Linked DNA regions of Rattus norvegicus. The protein of the gene in region 2 purifies or fractionates together with the protein of the main gene of each other region. This does not show direct contact. Links are inferred from orthologs where the notes say so. Each region holds a gene or a part of one and is shown on either strand. Other genes may lie near its edges.

Region 1 (4,771 bases), on a different chromosome or scaffold from region 2:
TGGCTCCTCTTAAGTGTGCCTTTCCCAAGTTCGGCCATTACCTGCCCCCAGGCTTAGAGCATTGTTCTGCTTAGCTTCTGGACACAAACTAAAGTAGCCCTGGAAGAGGGAACCTCAGCTGAAGACTGGCCTCTAGTGGGCATGTCTCTGGGCAATTGTCTTGATTGATGATGGTTGTGGGAGGGTCCGGCCTTCTGTGGACCACAGTATCCTATACGTGTAAGCATAAATCAGGCAGCCTGGCAAGCCAGAGTGAGCCAATAAGCAGCCTTCCTCCAGTTTCTGCTTCAGTTCCTGCTCAATTTCCTGCTCTGACTTCCTTCACTGATGAACTGTGACCGGAAGTATAAACTAAGATAACAAAAACCCTTGTTTTCCCTAATTTCCCTCACTATGCTTTTGCTCATGGTGTTTATGAACAGACAGCACACCAGGACAGACATTTGGCCCACACTTGTCCTCGATGACATCTATGCCCTATGACATCACGTAGTTATCCTCAGATGGGTCTCTGCGAGCCTCTCTCCCTCTCAACCGCAAGCTTTAGATTCATATATCTGTATCAGTCGTTCTCAACCCTCCTAATGCTGTGACCCTTTTATATAGCTCCTCATGTTGTGGTGACCCCCAACCACAAAATTGTCTTTGCTGCTACTTAATAACTGTAACTTTGCTGTTATGAATCATAATGTAAATATCTGTGTTTTCCCATGATTCTAGTCAACCCCTGAAAAGGGATTATTTGTGAATCAGGGGAGAATTACTGAACTACATGATATATTCACATCTTATATGTAACAGAGTAAAATAAGATTTTTTAAACACCTATTCAAGCCTATATCTCCCTCAGCCTTCCCATCTCAAAGATATGGGCACCACCCACTCACTCAGGAACTCCAACCTCTAGGAGTCAACAGTGTGTGTTCATGCATACATGCATGCAGCATGTGTACTTGTATGTATTCCTGTGTGTACAAGTACACACGTATATGTGTGCCTGTAAATATAAAATCCAGGAGCCAGCCCAACCTCACATGTTGTTTCTCAAATATCCACTTATTTTTGAAACTGTCTCTTCCTGGGAAGTGGGGCTTGCAGCTTAGGCAGGATGACCCGCAGCAGGCCCCAGATTCTCCTGTCTCCACCTCCCCAGTGACAGCTAGGATTACAAGTGCACGTTACCACACCTGGGTTTTTAGGAGATCTAACGTGAGTCCTCGTGCTTGCATGACAAGCGCTTTATGGACTGTGCATCTCCCCAGTCCCCTAGGAGTCATCTTTGTTCTTTCTCTCGGGCAGCATCCAAAGCACAGCCTGAATCCGACTACCTTTCTCCATCTCTGTGCTTCACCCTCCACTAACAGTCTGCTCTGGACCACAGCCACAGCCTCCTGCTGTCCACCAAACCCCATTCTCCCTAACGGAAGAATACCCAAAGCATACCAAGTCACTTTAAACCGTCTGCATCCTCCCTGGTCTCCGAACAGAGTTCAGGAGCTCTTTACCCTGGTCCAATTTCAGCATTTACCTCCCTTCCTGTGACTCCCGTTAATGCCATTCTCTCCCTAGATCACCATCTTCAAGCCACTCATTGAACTGGAAGGGGTTTGTACCTTAAACATTTTTTTCTGAAATGTCTTGCCCCTACTGGCACCACAGCAGGGGTCCTTCTTGTCATTCAAATTCCAAATGTCACCTGCTCAGAAAAAAGTCCTCAGGACCTACCAATCCAACCAGCCATCCAATCACTCCAAGTCACATCCCCTCGTGTTAATTTTCCGCACAGCAGCCACCGTTACCTGCTATTATTATTTGCTCACTCTTTGTTCCCTTTCCTCCCGCGGATTACATATCGACGAAGAAGAACAGTGAGCACCTCCCTTCCACACACCTCATCCATCAGCAGTCACTATTCAAGAGTCCCAAGTGATAAAGGAGGCTCGGGACTTTCTCCACACCTTCTGATCCAGATCTAAACATTGTCTCCAAGTTGGTGAAGAAATTAATTCTGAATCACGGTCCCCCACAGTACACCGAGTGCCAGTCAAACCATCGGCCGCCAGACCTTTGGCTAGTTCATTCATTCCATAAACAAACATTTACAGAGCTCCTACTCTATGCCAGGCACTGACTGGGTCAAACGATCAAAGGCAAGTTCTGACTCCCAGGACCCACAGAGGGGAGGAACGCTGCAACACAGGCACCTTCCCGGAGTGGGAAAAGGGAAGATTGTACACGTGTCCCCTTACAGCTTCGAGATCAGATCCACGCAGCCCAACAGACCCAGAATAACTGTTGGGACAGCGCCCAGAGATTCAGGCGGCTAAGCTCCCGTTCTACTAGCCCAGGCAGAGCCGACCGTCCGCGTTCCACTGCGTTCGGCGCCCGCCGAAGACTCGCGGGTAGAGTTCCAAGAATATCATTGGCTGACCGGGAGCCCCACCCCCATCCCATCCCTGAGAAGCAAGGATGCAGCGGCCCGGGTCGCGCTCCAACTCTCCACCGCCAGCCCAGCCAGCGCGGCTACACTAGCGTCGGGGCCCCCTCCCCCCTCCCCCACGCCCAAGCCCTCAGGCCACACTCCTGACCCACCGGAGCCTTTCTCCCTGACACCGGCCACTGTGCCCAGCGCATGTCCCCGGGGTAGGCGTGTCCCGGGAGCCGTGGAGTTTGCTGGCTCGGCCGCCGGCGGGCGGGACCTGGTCAGGCCCCCTGCGGCGCTGCGAACCCCGGTACGCAGCGGTCCCCCGAGCCCGCCACCTTCAGACATACAAACCCCAAGCGCCGAGCCCGCCAAGGTTGCGGGAAAGCAAGCGAGGTGCGGCGGTGGTGCGGGCTCACTTACTCTATGAAGAAACTGGCGCCCTCCTCCGTGAAGCCCTCCTCCCAGCCGCGCGGCAAGTCTGCGGGAAGGCGAGAAAAGTTGGTCAAACTTGCACAGCCGTGGCGCCCTCCCGCACCCTCTACCGACCGGGCGCTTACCTGAGCGGATCATGTGACCGGAGTTGACCGGTTCTCCCGTACGCGGGTGCAGCCAGGTCGTGCAGCGGAGCTGGTCACTACGGGAGAGGTGCACCTGTTAGCGCCGCCGCCCCACACGCCCGCCCGCGGACCCAGCCCCAGCACACGACCCCGCCCGGGTGCCGCCGCCTCTCACGCACTTGATGAAGAAGACGCGGCCGTCCCGACAGACGCCGTAGGACCAGTGCTCAGGTAGGGTGTCCCGCCCGACCGCAGCCGCCATGTTCGCCCAGCGCCTGAGCCCCGGACCGGGGGAGGGGGGGATGGGTAAAGGGGCGGGGTAAGGGGCGGGGCGAGGAGATAGGGGTGCAAGATGTTGGACAGAGTGAGTGGGAGGGACAAGAAACGGGGAGCTGGAGTAACAAGGAGTTGGAACAAGGAGTTGGCTAGGGATAGGGAGGAGAGGACTAGATCTGAGGAGGAATAGGGAGAAGGGTACATTGGAAGAAATGAGGGGGAGAGGCAAGGAAGGAGTGGGAAGGGGCTGAGACGCGAGGGACTTGGACCGATCCTTCTGGGTTCCCCTGTGCTGGGTGCAGCGTGGGCTCCCAGCCTTGGTGACTCGTGGTTCGAGGTCACGGCCGGTGCCTCCAAAGTTCACTGGAGGAGGGCTGGCCGGAGCGGGGCACAGGGCCCCGCAGCCTTTGTCCCCGAGACTCGCAGGCCGTGAACAGACTACACCCCCCCCCCCAGCCCCCGACACACACCCTTTCTCCAGGAAAACCGGCCGACCTGCACACCACAGCTTCTCCTCCCCCCCACCCCGGAAGTCTGCTTCTGTCTTAGACTAGGAACACCAAACAGGTTTCTGCTGGATTCCAGAGCAGTCTCCAAGACTTCTGTAAAAGAAAAGCTAGCTTGTGATTCCAGCCCTGGGGAGACTGAAGCCGGAGGATTGCTGCGAGCTGGAAGACAGACAGAACTACTTAAGAGAATTACAGGACAGCGCAGGTTACTACGAGACCCTGTCTCAAAAAACAAAACGTAGGGGCTGGAGAGATGGCTCAGCAGTTAAGAGCACTGAGTGCTCTTCCAGAGCCCTGAGTTCAATTCCCAGCAACCACATGGTGACTCACAACCATTTGTAATAGGGTCTGATGCCCTCTCCTGGTGTGTCTGAAGAGAGCAATAGTATACTCACATATATTAAATAAACCTTTAAATTTTTTTTAAAAATGCCCCCCACACCTGAAGCTGCAGCGATCACAAACCTTCAGTTCTGACAACTGACAAAAAAAGAGGCGCTGGGTCTGGATTTCCCTGCTCTCATTTAAAGGAAGAGCTGTCAACCCGAATTCTTGGGGAGCTCTCCTGAGTTCCCAGAGTAAAGGAGACCCTTAACTCACTCGTTTGCTCCTAATTAACATTTATGTGTCTACTCTCTTTTGTCAGTTGGACAAGAGAAGGAGCCTTGATCTGCCCCCAAAATACCAGGACCTGGGCACCCGAACAATTCTACCTCATCCTTTCAGCAACATCTCAATGGAAGAATGGGAAACACTCCTCACTCTGCAAGTGGGTGGAGCCGGAGCCGGAGCCGGAAGCTAGGTGCTGGGCAAGGGTCAGGCCAGCCTTGCAGAGACACAGCTGCAGGTCTGAGGAGGCTCACTTGAGGGTGCAGCTGTCTGCACTGGGCACTAGAATTAGAGATCAGGAGTAGGATGGACCCTGAAGGGGGCGCAGTGGAGCTCTGTCAGTGTTTCTTGACCTGTGGGTCTCCACCCCTCGGAGTAGCATCTCAGATTACGTT
Region 2 (4,117 bases):
TTGTTGATTGATAACTCCACTTTGGTGAATTGCACCCCTAGGAAAGCAGAAGAAAGGAAACTCAGAACTCCCAAATAGCTAGCTAGCTACTGAATTACTTCTGACATCATCAGGGCAGGCTGGGGCTTAAAGGACATGTACTATATAAGTTTGAAATGACTTTCAAATACAATCATCAAATGTTCAAACCCGCAAATTTTGTATGCACGGTGATTATTTGAATGCTACATATTAAGAATTTAATGAGAACAGCCTGGTGGTGATGGATGGCACATGCCTTTAATTCCAGCACTTGGAAGGCAGAGGCAGGTGGATTTCTCTTTAGTTCAAGGCCAGCCAGGTCTGCAGAACAAGTTCCAGGACTGCAAAGGGCTACACAGAGAAACCCTATCTCAAACAAACAAACAAACAAACAAACAAACAAACAAACAAACAAAACTTGAGTTTTTCTTTCTGGTGGTTCAAGCCCAAATTGCACTTTTATTTTGTAGCACATCAGAGTAGCAGCACACAGGAGAGAAGACCTCTCATTAGCCACTAAGTTAGGAACAATGCTTTTAGGCATAGGGAATATTGTGGGTAGTCAGTGTCCAGACAACAGCATTTGCATTTCTTTGGCTTATGTTTTAGCTGTTCATCCTGGATGGTACATGTAATTTGTCACTGAGAAGGAGTCACTAAATTCAAGATGGAAGACGTCCATGGGATAGATGAACTGTTAGACTTGTATGTCCTCTGCATTACCTCATTTTGTTAATCTTTCCACCTAGGACCCTGTCTCTGAATCCAACCCAGAGCTGCTCACGTTTCCCAGCTTTCACCAGGGTCTGAGAAGACAGAAACGAGACTGGGTCATCCCTCCCATCAACTGCCCGGAAAATCAAAAGGGCGAATTCCCCCAGCGACTGGTTCAGGTACGGGAGGAAGCTGGTGGAAGGCACTCCTGAGAGAAGAGAAAATGTAAAGACCCCATGTGGAGATCTTGCCTTTCCAATTCCCATTCGCTTCTGTTTTCTGTTCAGATCAAATCCAACAGGGACAAAGAGACAACGGTTTTCTACAGCATCACCGGCCCAGGAGCTGACAAACCCCCTGTTGGCGTTTTCATCATTGAGAGGGAGACAGGCTGGCTGAAAGTGACGCAGCCTCTGGACAGAGAAGCCATTGACAAGTACCTTGTGAGTATTTCTTAGATATTGTTGACCACTGGATAACAATTGTCAAATTTTAAAGCAGCTGGTGTTTTATTCCCCAGTTTGGATGTCCTGGACATACAAGTAGCTTAAATTATCTTAACAAGTCGGGGCGGTTCATTGCTGTTGTCGTAGGGATTCATCATATCATGCATGAGCTTAGATAAAAGCTGTCAAAGTAGGCTGGAGGAATGGCTCAACGGGTAAGAACATTTGTTGCTCTTGAAGAGTTCACTTCCCAGCATTCATGTAGGTGGATCACAACCACCTGAAACTCCTGCTCCGGCTGCTCTGATACCTTATGACAACCTCCATTGATAACTCCACAAAAGTGTGTGTGAACACGCGCGCGCACACACACACACTCAGAGACACACACACAGAGACAGACACACACACAGAGACAGACACACACACAGAGACAGACACACACACACACACACGCAGAGACAGACACAGAGAGACAGACAGACACAGAGAGAGAGAGAGACAGAGAGACAGACACACAGATATATACTGCCAAGCTGGGGATAGGTACTGAGGTGGGAGGGACAAAGGCTAAAGACTGATGATAGTCTTATAGCTCTTCCTTACTGTTCTAGGAGCCAGAAGCTAATGGCATCTGGCAGTTTAACTCTCTTGCTATTCTATGGCTAAAAGCTGCTGATTTCTGGCAATTAACTCCTGCTGGTAGATGTAGAGGATTAAGAAAAGTAGTTAGTTGCTTGGGCTGACTCCTCTTTGACTGAGGCTGAGAGTTCTGTTAACTCTGTAAGCCAGAGAGAAAGGAAAAGTCTCTAACACAGAAAAACACTCACTCTGGATGAAGCAGAGAGAAGAAGCTCCAACAAATCTTTGTTTCTGTTCTCACTATTCACATTCTCTGAAAATCCCCTCATACAACTATCAGTTAGAACTGTTGCAGTAGGATAATCGATTACATGATTTCTATAATGTAATTTGCCCCCCCCGCCCCCCCCCCCCGGAGCTGGGGACCAAACCCAGGGCCTTGTGCTTGCTAGGCAAGCACTCTACCACTGAGCTAAATCCCCAACGATTACATGATTTCTAAACACTCTTACGTTCTGTAAGTTCATAGTAAATTTAAGGCAATAGTTATAAGATTTAAGGAGTTACAGCAGAAATGTTTACATTTCTTCCCATTAAGACTAGTATCTGATGAAACATCTGTTATCTATCTTCTAGACCCATAAATCCAATATAAGTAAATAATTTTTTTTATCACAAGTTAACACAATTTTGTTAAGAGATAAATCACCTACCTTGCGTCTTATTAGTTTTGAAGTTTTGTATAGATAAACTAGTCAATATTTTATTTGTTGTATTTGCACCTACAATAAATTGTCCATTCCCAGTTTATGACCTTTAGTTACCAGATAGTGGCCTTGTTCCTAACCTAGAAGGAATGTTTTACTTGGTCGTAAATTTGTTCCAAGCCTGCTGCTTTCTTTTTTTTTTTTTTTTTTTTGGTTCTTTTTTTCGGAGCTGGGGACCGAACCCAGGGCCTTGCGCTTCCTAGGTAAGCGCTCTACCACTGAGCTAAATCCCCAGCCCCCGCCTGCTGCTTTCTTTTCTTAGTGCAGTTAGCCTGTAACACGTGACGGTTTACAGAGCTCTGTTTGCAGCTTTTTCTTCTGTAGGGGACTTGAGATTACTTGTATCAATTTAGGAATTTTATAAAATCATTATCAAGAATTATGAAATCATCAATTCTATAGGCATTACTATATGAAAGCACATCTTCATATTGATTCTGTAGGAGATGTGCCCAATAGGGTGGGCTGATGCCCAGGAATTGGCTGTGCGATAGTGAAAGGAAATACAGTAGCAAGAAGCAATCCTGGGATGAAGTCTCTGAGGACCCTGCATTCTCAGAGCTCACCCATCGCACCTATACAAAATGGTGGCCATCTCCAGAAACCTCACTTGTATGCCTTAGCCTTTCCTAAGTGACTTCTGACATATACACATACATAACAAAAATTGTAAGATGTTGACTTGGCTCAGAAGATGGCTTAGTTATTTTTTTGTTTTTTGGTTTTTTTTTTTTTTTTTTTGTTTGTTTGTTTTCTTCTTCTTCTTTTTTTTTTTTTGGAGCTGGGGACTGAACCCAGGGCCTTGCGCTTGCTAGGCAAGCGCTCTACCACTGAGCTAAATCCCCAACCCTGATGGCTTAGTTGTTAAGAGCACTGGTTGTTCTTGTAAAGGACCTGAGTTTGGTTCCCCATACTGACACGGTAGCTCATAACCATCTGTAACTCAGGTCCAAGGGGACTCAGTGACTTCCTTAGGTATTAGCTCAGGTATATATATGGTATATATACATACCTGGAGCCAAAATATTCGTGTGTGTGTGTGTGTGTGTGTGTGTGTGTGTGTGTGTGTAAAAGAGAGGGGGTGGGGAATAGAGAAATGGCTTAGCAGGTAAGAACACTGGCTACCCTTTCAAAGGACCTGGTTCAATCTGTAGCACACCCAGCAGCTCAGAACTGCCTGTAACTCCAGTTCCTAAGGATTCAACACTCTCACACAGACATATATGCAGACAAAACACCAGTACACATAAGTAAATAAATATTTTTTTTAAATTGGTGTTCTGCCTGCATGTATGCTTGCACACCAGTAGAGGTTATCAGATCTCATTATAAGTGGTTGGTTATGAGCCACCATGTGGATCCTAGGGATTGAACAAAGGACCTGTAGAATGATCTTAATCTCTGAGCCATCTCTCCAGCCCCAAATAAATCTTTAGAAAAAAAAAAAAAAGTCAACTTGTTCTTGGGGAGAAATTTCTTACCTAGATGATACATATTCTGATAATAACTAGGGTACAAAGCTCACTTCTGAGACTTGGTTGCAGTGTGAACTTAGGGAGGAGGGAGATAATCTATAGATGCCAAATG
Region 3 (4,812 bases), on a different chromosome or scaffold from region 2:
GAAATCCCCATCCTCTGACTTCAGCCTCCAAGCTGGGGCTAGAGATACCTGCCACCATACCCGGCATCAATGTGGACTCACATGCTACAACTTGAGGATGACTCCCTCTCCTACAAAAGTACTAAGAAGCCCCAACAGATTTTGTCTTTTGGGACAGTGTCTCACTGTACAGCCCTGGCTGTCCTGGAGCTTACTGGTTAGGCCAGCTTCCAATTCGCAGACATCAGTCTGCTCCAGCTACCTGAGTGTTGGGTTCAAAGGCTTGTGACACCACATGAGACTACAAAATAGGTATTTTAAAGCAAGCCACTGATCAGCTCACCTGCAGACAGCGCCAGAAGGAAGGACCGAAGACTACCTTTCTTCCCAATGGCAAGACTTCACCCTGATGCTTTCTTCAATCTGTTTTTCTATTCCTCACCCACTTTCAGTTCTGACTCAGTTTTTACCTCTTCCACTGCTCTCATCCTATTGTCTCTAAACTTAGACTATATCCAGCATCATTTATCACATTCCCACAAGTCTAAATAAATCTCTAGGGGTCTGTTGTCTGTCCTCTACCCGATACAGTTCAACCTCAGCTAACCAATGTGTTCCTTCAAAGGCTTCAATGAGCCAGGGCGGTGATGGTCTATTCTTTTAATCCCAGCACTTGAGTTAGGTACATCTCTGAGTTTGAGGCCAGCCTGGTGTATAGAGTGCGTTATATGACAAACAGAGAAACCCTGACTCCACAAAACAAAACAGAACAAGGGAAGGGGAGTGAATGGCTTCAACGAGGTATGATCAGCTTCACCAGTGGCCATACTTCTTCCTACTCTGTCCACGCCTACTCTGATTTTTCCGGTAGGGTCCATCCTTTTCTCCAGGATTTTTAATGGCCGTTCCCTTTGTGTTGGGTTCCTTAGACCAAGGGACATTTCCATGCCTTACTCCTGCACTCTCCCCTCCTAGTCTTTGCTTAAAGGTCACGGCCCAATTAAGGGTTTCAGCTGATACCCAGTTTGCAATCTATCTTCAGATTCCAGGACTTCCATTCTTCCCCAGCTTGACACCCTTTTGTTTTTAGCCCCTGTGGCCTAACACATTACATAAGGTACCATATCCACTGTCCTGAGAGTATCTCTTCACTAGAAAGGAAGCTCTAAGATGTGTTCACTGCTGTTCTTCTTAGCACCATACTGTAGAGGACAGTGTGCTCTCAGCAACTCTTGCTGAGTCACTCTTTTAAATGACTAGGGGGCAGGGCGAAACTCTGACAGTGCCTCAGGTCAATCCACTCTATTTACCCTAAGGCCCCAGGAGTCCTTGAGACGTGATCTACTTGGGAGGAACTTACTTAAAAATGGTTGGGAAATCAGGGAATGGGAATCACTAGCAAGAGAATAATTTCAGGTAAATTCTGTTTTCATCAATCCGCTCTGCCTTCTGGAGACAGAATTGAGAAGAAAGCTGAAAGTATAAACCCATTACAATAATTCAGGAAGAGATGATGAAAGCTTGAGGCAGTTGCCATACAAGAGTGAAAGACACAGTGACAAGTTGGATATAAAGGGCAGTGGACAGTGGGAGTGACAGTGGTACAGTAATGGAAGCACGACATCCCCAAGGGCCTGTTTGCAAGTGGAGCAGTCTAAGTCTCCTCTACTTAGATTAACATTTATATTACTAATGTGCCCACAAATAACCTAGTGATTAAGACACAAAGCTTGCTCAGATATAAAGAATATTAGAGACAAAAGGGGACCCTCTAAGATCCCTGCTTCTGTTCCCATTTATCAATGTGCTGAGCTGGACTTTGAGCAGGGAGATTCCCTTCCAAGGGAAAGGGCAGGAATGCTGCCTCGTGGGCTAAAAGTTTCAAGTCAATCCTTGACCACAAGATAAAGACCAAGCAAGATTCCTGGAGACTTGATGAATGGGATCCATTTCACTGTGACACTTCCAAACTAGGAAATTTTAGGTACTGATCCCCAAGGTTCCCCAAGTTAATAGCTAAAACAAAAATAGTTTAATCCACTTCTTACATAATTTGAATCTTAGTGTCATGCCTTACCTGGAAAGTTCTCTCGATTGAGCTTAGGCCGACGAATGATCACAAAGTCTTTGTCACTCCCTTTGCTCTTTAGCCTTTTCCTTGGAGGGCTCTGGGGGTGGCCGAGGTTTGAGAGCAGTCCATGTGGGATGTTCTCACTGTCCACCTCCTCCTTCTCCAAGGCAGAGACACCCATGCCTGACAGCAGTTCAGAAGTCTTGCTGGAATCCCATCCCCACGTGAAGCTGGTGGTGACGTTGCTACTCTGGTCCGGAATCTCCTGAAGGTGCTTCCTGCAGAAGGGCACACATTCCCTATTCCTTTTGAAAGCACACCTCTAAATAATTCCAAGGTAGGAATGCAAGAACCGTCAAGTATGCAGTGTCGAAAAGTCACAGCAAGTCACAGAACTGCATTTTTTTTTTAACGTGCCTACAGCGGCGAGAGAAATCCAGGAATGAAAGAGAAAATCGGAAACACATACACTTGGAAAGGCTTTGGGATTTATGGTCACGCAGAAGGCCTCAATAATTTCTTCCCGTGGAGGGAAAAAGAGGGACGGCATTCATACCGTGATTCAAAGAAGTGGAAGGAAAACCTAATTAGGAAGCCAAATTAAACCGCATATTGATATTCGTGCTAAAGCATCCATCCATCCACCCATCCATTTTCTTCCAAAAAGGAACTAAGCAACCATTCACATAAGATTATTTGAGCAAGAAGCGACATTCGCGGCCTAAAAGAATTCAAACGATTCATTCATGCTTTGCCCGGTTTTTTGCAATCGGTTTACCTATGCATGGCGTCCACTGATTAAGGAGTTTTGAATGCTTCAATTAATTGAAGAGCTGCCTGCCTTCCAGACTCCCGTTCTAGGGCGCTGCTTACAATGATCCCCGGGGCCCCAGCAGCTGGACCCGCGAACTAGCAACGTTCCATCACCAACGCGCGCGCGGAGTTCTGCATCCCGCTCTCCAGCAGCCGCCTTCTGGCGCCTCGTTGCCTGCTGGGAATTGTAGTTCCGGGCCTGGCTCGTAGTCCGTCTCTATCTCTCCTTATTTCCTCCACTCTTATTTTGGACGAACCCTCCAAATACCCACAACTCCCCGCGGCTAAGGGCGGGAGTGAAGAAGGAGGACAGGCAGGCGGAAGTGGGTGGAGCTCCGACTGACTGGGAAATGTCAGTCGATTGACTGGGAGCGGGTTTTCCTTTTCCCGGAGCCCACAGGCCTTCGGGTGACCACCGCCACGGTCGCCCGAGACTGAAGGATCCCTGACCCCGGCAGACTACGGCGGACGCGAAGCTTCCGAGTTCCTTCCAGACGCTGTCTGGCGAGGTCTGACGGTGAGCGTGAGGGGGGCGGGGACGCGTGAGGTGCGTCAGGGTCTGGGGTCCCGGCCCAGTCTGGCGGAGATAGACTTGGGGGTTCCAGATTCCGAGTGGCCGCCTCCGCCAGGCCCATCTCCCCGGTCTCGGCCGCCCGCCAGGTGAGAGATTGCGGGTGGCACGCCTGCCAGCCGGCCATTCGCCTTCCTCCACCTGGCAGTGGGCGGCCCTTAGGACTGGGTCTGTGGACGCGATCCCTGCCTCACGTATAAAGTAGGCTTGAGGACGACGCACACCCCACGGGCTTGGACTGAAGATCAAGTCAGACAGTGCGAGTGAAAGCCTTTTTAAGCTAAAGCGCAGTTCCAAGAGAAGCGGTGGTTTATTTTTAAGGCAGCAGGAGCCAGCAGTGGTTCCCGTGTGTATCCTCTTGGATCCTTGACGGGTCTCTCCAATGCAATAGGAAAAAGAGAGGCGCTGCTTGCAAGGAGAGACCACCCTGAAAGCTGTGTAGGTGCCTCTGACTCAACCCACAGCCTCTCTATGAATCTCTCCCTGCTGAAAACTATGCTAATTTAGCCTCTGAAGGGGTCGGGGGCTATTAGATTAGAATGACCATGCAAAATTCAAGTGTGCAAACTGCAATGTTGATGATGATGATGATGATGATGATGATGATGTGATGATGATGATAATGTGACTTCGGAGCAACAGGGGAGAGGGTAGGGGAATGCATTTCAAGTCCAAAATGAAGAGGATTTATAGAGTTGAGAACAAAGCAGGCTACCTTCATCAAAAACATTAGAATATTGGTTTAGTATGTTAGATTGCATACCCTTGTGTTTCTTTGTGGGGAGGGCAGGATTTGTTTTATAATGGAATTAAGCCCTTCACGCTCAGTTACGCCTTTGTTTCTACCATAATCTTTGCATTAGTTACTTCTTGACAGGAAGAAATTCATAAACCCTTAGTTCCTGAAATTGAGATTGGTGTTTTTTTGTTTGTTTGTTTGTTTGTTTTTTTAAAGACCTGTTCTCAAATTAGTTTTAATTGAAAAGAAGCAAGACTATGAGACTTGAGTATTCACAGTTTTGTTATGGAAAGTATCTTAAAATGAGACCTTATGAAATAGTTTATAAAGTTATCTTTTGTTATTTTGAAAAACTCATTTGCCTTCTCTTGAACTTTGTCCTTTCTCTTAGGATGTAACTCATTCAAGAAAAAAAAATTGTAGTAAACATAAAATAACACCTTGTTCAGCTCCGAATTTAGCTAAGTGTTACCAGAGAACATAGAATATTTAAATTAGTGGGCGGGCACAAGGTTCTCTAGGAAAGGAGAGCCTATTAACTTTGAAATTAGGAACCCCTTGATTTGCCTAGATAGTGAAACTGTTTTTCTTTTGCATTTCTTCTAATCACAGCTGTTTCCTTAATATACTGAAGAGGTT
Region 4 (4,527 bases), on a different chromosome or scaffold from region 2:
AGAGGCAGCGGGTGCGCCCTGGCCAGAGGGAACATCTCAGAATATCAGACTTAAAAGCAGAGTGCCAATAACAAGCCAGTATCAGGCACTGAAAGCCAGGCACCTTGGGTAAGATCAGAAGATCAGAAGAGCGGAGGGAGGGGCAGGCAGGCAGGCAGGCAGATGAGGGAAGGCACAGAGGAGAAGGTGTGTAAGGAAGTGGGTTCCATGGACCTTGCCTACGCAGGTCTGATAAGGTAGGGCCAGTGTGACTGGGGAAGGCAGTCAACTTGACAAGGGGCAAGATAAGCACTGACTGCAATGGCAGAACAAGTTAGTAAGGTGACAAGGTCCACGGCCATCTCTTTAGGGATCTCTAAGAGGGAATCTGTAGGAGGAAGGGATAGGAGACAAGGCTAGGGAATGGAGTCAGCCATTTTCATGTCATGGTTGATGCTGCTGGCATAGAAGGGCCCCCACGGCTTTGACTTGAACCCTGAAGAATGGCTGTGACACTCCTCAGGCTGGGGTACTGAACAGGACTTACCCTGCCTGGGAGGCAAGAACCTGAGAGGTCCTCCCTAGAGATCCAGTCACTGTCTCTCCCTCCTCCCTAGGCATCCTGGGCAGAGGGGCAATTAGCCCAAGTCTGACTCTTCTTGAAGGCAAAGAATGACTTCTGCTTCTTAGACTTGGTTCATAATAGACTTTATTGGGAAAATTAGTGTAAAAAACAGATTCATAAAATTTAAATAAGACAGTAAAATCTTATCTTGTAGCTATGGTAATTGCTATAGTAATCACAAGTAAGGTGGAGTCTAAATTATTGCCTAAGCGAACACTGCTGTCAAGGCTCCTTAGCCAGCCCAAAGCAGGAAACACTGCGATTATTACGAGAGCCCGACGATGAATTTGCATTTCCAGCTGGAATAACAGGGGAAGCATGTTCTGATTACAGCATCACAACGTTCTAGCCCGAGAAAAGCAACTCTATTAGTGTCCTACAGCAGAGCACATTAGTAACTTAGCCGTGAATCATAATTCCCATTCTGCTTCATAAAGAAACCAATCAATTTCCAGGGTAATCCATTGTTTTATTCCTCAGGTTTCTGGACCTTCTTTCTCACACAGTTTAAGGTGCCCCATGGTTTACCCTGGGTCACCCTTGGCCATTTGATTCCATACTGCCCCACAGTAGGGCTAAAGGCAACCTCTCCCTTGGGTGCTCACCCCGGCCTGTTCAGAAATGGACCAAGAAGTTAATGTGGCACTCTCTGATTACAGAATTTTTATTTCAATTAAGCTTATAAAAATATAGCTAGAAATATATTTTGAATTCTAAAAGCTTTTTTTCTAACCAGCTTTAACACAAACATGTCCTTGCAAAATTCACCACCTGGCTGAGTTTGAAATCTGCTCCCTCCCTGTGGAATACAACAGAGCTCTCTACTTAGCAAACACATCTGAGTGGAGAAGTATGTGACCGACTTTTCGGGACCCCCATGGGCTACGGAGCTCAGATGCTGTCCATGGCCTTGAACTCGCTGAGGGCCTGCACAGGGTTCACGTGCTTCTTCTGGGAGGCCCGCTTGATCTTGGTCTGTGTCTCATCCTGCTTCTCTCTCTTCACCAAGGGCTTCTTCTCGGGGGCTTTCATTTTCCATGACACAGCAGGAAGGTTGAGGGACGCCATCCCCTGTGACTTCTGGTATTTGGTGGAAGCCACGTAGGACGCCTTCACTGTCTGCACTACAGCGTTCATCAAGTTCTTGGCTGCCTGGATCAGGGACATGGCGCTGTCCACCTACAAAGGACAGATGAGTCACCGGTGAAGAGCCTGACTAGAACCCTGCATGCATGTGGCCTGGCCACACCAACCAGGGCCTCGTCACCTTAAGGGGCTCCTACTGCTCTATCAAGGGCAGCTCTTACCCATGTAGCTTGCAAATACTTGCCTTTGAAAAGAAAAGGTGACAACACACAAAGTCGCCTCATCCCCCATCCCTTACAGTGCCGAGTGTGCAAGGCTGTGTAGCACGGGCACCGTGAACAGTGGCAGGGACTGTGACCTGATGGATTGCTCCAACTTAGCTCTTTGTGGGTAGAAACGGAGAAAGCAGTGGGCGCGGTTCTATTTGGTAATTTCTTAGTTGGGTTAATTACTCTTTTGGGGTGGTGGTGGTATAAAAACACCCTTTTCCAAAGAACAGCTGGCAAAAGAGACGAGGCCTGGCAATAGTTCCAGCTGTCACCGGGCCACACCAACCATGCCATGCTAAAGAGATGGTGTGAGGCCGGTGGGCTCCAGGACCCAAGAGGAACTAAGAAGGACCTTGTAGCTAATGCTGCTTCTCCTTCCCCGTCTGGAGTAGGTGGGCGATGCACAGGGACAAATGTCTACTTCTGCTACAGACACGGGCCAGCAAACCCCTCCTGGCCAGTGTGTCTCATCGCTGACACTTACCCCAGAGACGACAAGCTCTCCACCGAGGTTCTGTACTTCAGCCTTGACCTTGCTGCAGATGTTGAGCTGGTGGCAGTAGAGCGCGATGCGCTGAAGGTAGGCCAGCAGGTCCTGCTTGCAGGCGGAGTCTGGGCACTGACGGAAAAGGAAAAGACGCTCAGCACTGAGTACTCCCAGCCCCACCCAGACAACTCCTGTCCCCGGGGTTATTTCTCAAAGGCTCCCCGTGGGTGTTAGCTTCCTCCCTCCCTAAAGGAGCAAGGGGCAGAGAAGGGGGAGTGTCCATTCTCTAGGGTGCCATACCCCAGGACAGTCCCTCCCAGAGCCCACCTCCTGCATGGGGTAGGCAGTGAACACTTTCTGAGCCTTCCACTCAGTAACTCAGGGTCTGCCAGCAACTACTGTGCTAATGCCTAGGTTTCCACCCCAGGGGAGAAGCTCCTGGCCCCTATAACGTGAGGTAAGCATCAGCAAGCAAGGGCCTGGTCTTACAGAGGAGACAATGCTGAGCTATGTAGATTAAAGAAGTGATTCATCAGCCGAGGCGCTCGCTGTCCTCTCAGCCAGGGCGCACACAAGATAAACCCTGAACACAGAGCTCTAGGCACAGGTGATTAACAAAAAGGTGACAAGTGCGGCCTCTGCCCAGACTGCTGGGGGCTGGGTGCTTAGGTTTCTTCAGAGAAGGAAGCACAGCCACTCACTCACTCTCCAGTGCTCACAACAGACACTGTTCTTCCAATGGTGGAGGGGAGGGAGAAGCGCAGTGGTGTAAAATGGGGTCTAGATACTCCATGCTGAAGGCTTTGAATTTTTCTAAGATGCCACTGAAGCAGGACAGATTCAAGTGTGATTTGCATTTTATGATGACAGTGTTGATGGCTGTTTGCAGAACAGAGGAAAGAAAGGCCACAGAGGTCTGAGCAGTAAGAGATCAATGGAGCTGCTAATTTCAGACAGAAAGAACAGGTGTTGTCACAACACACTGTCCACAAGGCTTTTTATTGGGTGGTCAAGAATGACTGCCAAGTGTTAGCTTGAGTAATGAGGGACAGATGTCACCCATCCTGCAGCCTGAATGACACAGTAAGCTTGGATAACAAGCCTAGAAAAAGGCCACAGGGAAGTGCTGTGAGGCTTCCTGGAGGTATGAAGTAGCAGTGAGGAGAAAGAGAAGCCTGTCCCCAGCTAGACGCTGTAACAGCGCTCACAGCAAGAGGCTGGGTGAGGGTGAGGAGAAGGGAGGCAGCAGAATCTGCTTCTGCTCCAAACTGAAAACCAGCCAACACGGCAGAGACTGGAGTGATAGAAAGTTTTAGATAGACACACCCAACCCTGGAAACTCATCAAAGAAATAGGAGTTGAGAAATCCTCAGGAACGTATGCTGGGACTGATGGAGTGGCTTAGAGCAATTTTCCAAGGTGAGCCGTGGCCCATGAGAACGCTCATCAACAGCTTCCTCAGCCATGGGCCGTGCAGAGCGGCACTCACGTGGTCTGCGATGGTCCGGCCAAGCTTATCCATCCTGGATCCTGCCTCAGCAATTTTCTTGGCAGCACTGATCACATCCGATGTGTTTTTGAGTGGCCCTTTGCCTCTGAAAAGAGAACAGGGTGCCTGTCTATGAATCCCATCTTGGTTGGAGGTTAAGTGGAGAAAAGATGTCTATGCCCCAGGGAAGTCCTCAGCCTCTCTCTCTGTGGGCTGCAGGGCTGCGCTCACCGGGTGAAGTCGGTCATCTCCATCATGATCATGCACATCTGCTTGGCCAGCACAATGATGTCATTGCCGCTGTCGTCCCACTTGGACACCTCAGCGTCCAGCTTGCTCTTCTCCTCCTGGAAGCTGGCCACCTGCTCTGCGATCTTTGCCTTCTGCTCCTGAGGAAGCTGAGCCATGATCGCCTACAACCACAAGCAAACCACTCAGGAAGTTCTCACAGTGCATTAGCCAAGACGGCTAACAGCAATCTACAACATAGGTAGGATAATACTTTAATGGTTTCATTTTGCCCAAAGGGCAATTTTCTCATTTTTGTAGGAATTCACTGCAGCCTAAATTCCTGACCCACTTTTTAAAATCA

Evidence for each region.
Region 1: the proteins of Cdh1 (region 2) and Plekha7 purify together in Homo sapiens (co-immunoprecipitation; 3 studies listed by BioGRID and IntAct, with this or other methods). This does not show direct contact. The link is inferred for Rattus norvegicus from reciprocal best matches to the Homo sapiens genes CDH1 and PLEKHA7.
Region 3: the proteins of Cdh1 (region 2) and Skp2 purify together in Homo sapiens (affinity purification with western blotting; 3 studies listed by BioGRID and IntAct, with this or other methods). This does not show direct contact. The link is inferred for Rattus norvegicus from reciprocal best matches to the Homo sapiens genes CDH1 and SKP2.
Region 4: the proteins of Cdh1 (region 2) and Ctnna1 purify together in Homo sapiens (affinity purification with western blotting; 10 studies listed by BioGRID and IntAct, with this or other methods). This does not show direct contact. The link is inferred for Rattus norvegicus from reciprocal best matches to the Homo sapiens genes CDH1 and CTNNA1.

What each region holds. Positions count from the first base shown.
Region 1 is NC_086019.1:179,978,839-179,983,609, forward strand, and holds the start of Plekha7 (pleckstrin homology domain-containing family A member 7), read right to left. Parts: upstream 3,318-4,771; 5' UTR 3,245-3,317; coding exon 3,162-3,244; exon of another isoform or gene 3,060-3,161; coding exon 2,983-3,059; exon of another isoform or gene 2,904-2,982; coding exon 2,846-2,903; exon of another isoform or gene 514-2,845; intron 1-513. UniProt on the Homo sapiens protein: Required for zonula adherens biogenesis and maintenance. Acts via its interaction with CAMSAP3, which anchors microtubules at their minus-ends to zonula adherens, leading to the recruitment of KIFC3 kinesin to the junctional site.
Region 2 is NC_086037.1:51,453,901-51,458,017, forward strand, and holds part of Cdh1 (cadherin-1 precursor), read left to right. Parts: intron 1-770; coding exon 771-914; intron 915-1,022; coding exon 1,023-1,178; intron 1,179-4,117.
Region 3 is NC_086020.1:59,913,549-59,918,360, forward strand, and holds the start of Skp2 (S-phase kinase-associated protein 2), read right to left. Parts: upstream 2,924-4,812; 5' UTR 2,837-2,923; coding exon 2,829-2,836; intron 2,329-2,828; coding exon 2,057-2,328; intron 1-2,056. UniProt on the Homo sapiens protein: Substrate recognition component of a SCF (SKP1-CUL1-F-box protein) E3 ubiquitin-protein ligase complex which mediates the ubiquitination and subsequent proteasomal degradation of target proteins involved in cell cycle progression, signal transduction and transcription.
Region 4 is NC_086036.1:27,131,154-27,135,680, reverse strand, and holds the end of Ctnna1 (catenin alpha-1), read right to left. Parts: intron 4,349-4,527; coding exon 4,167-4,348; intron 4,042-4,166; coding exon 3,936-4,041; intron 2,579-3,935; coding exon 2,444-2,578; intron 1,784-2,443; coding exon 1,496-1,783; 3' UTR 672-1,495; downstream 1-671. UniProt on the Homo sapiens protein: Associates with the cytoplasmic domain of a variety of cadherins. The association of catenins to cadherins produces a complex which is linked to the actin filament network, and which seems to be of primary importance for cadherins cell-adhesion properties.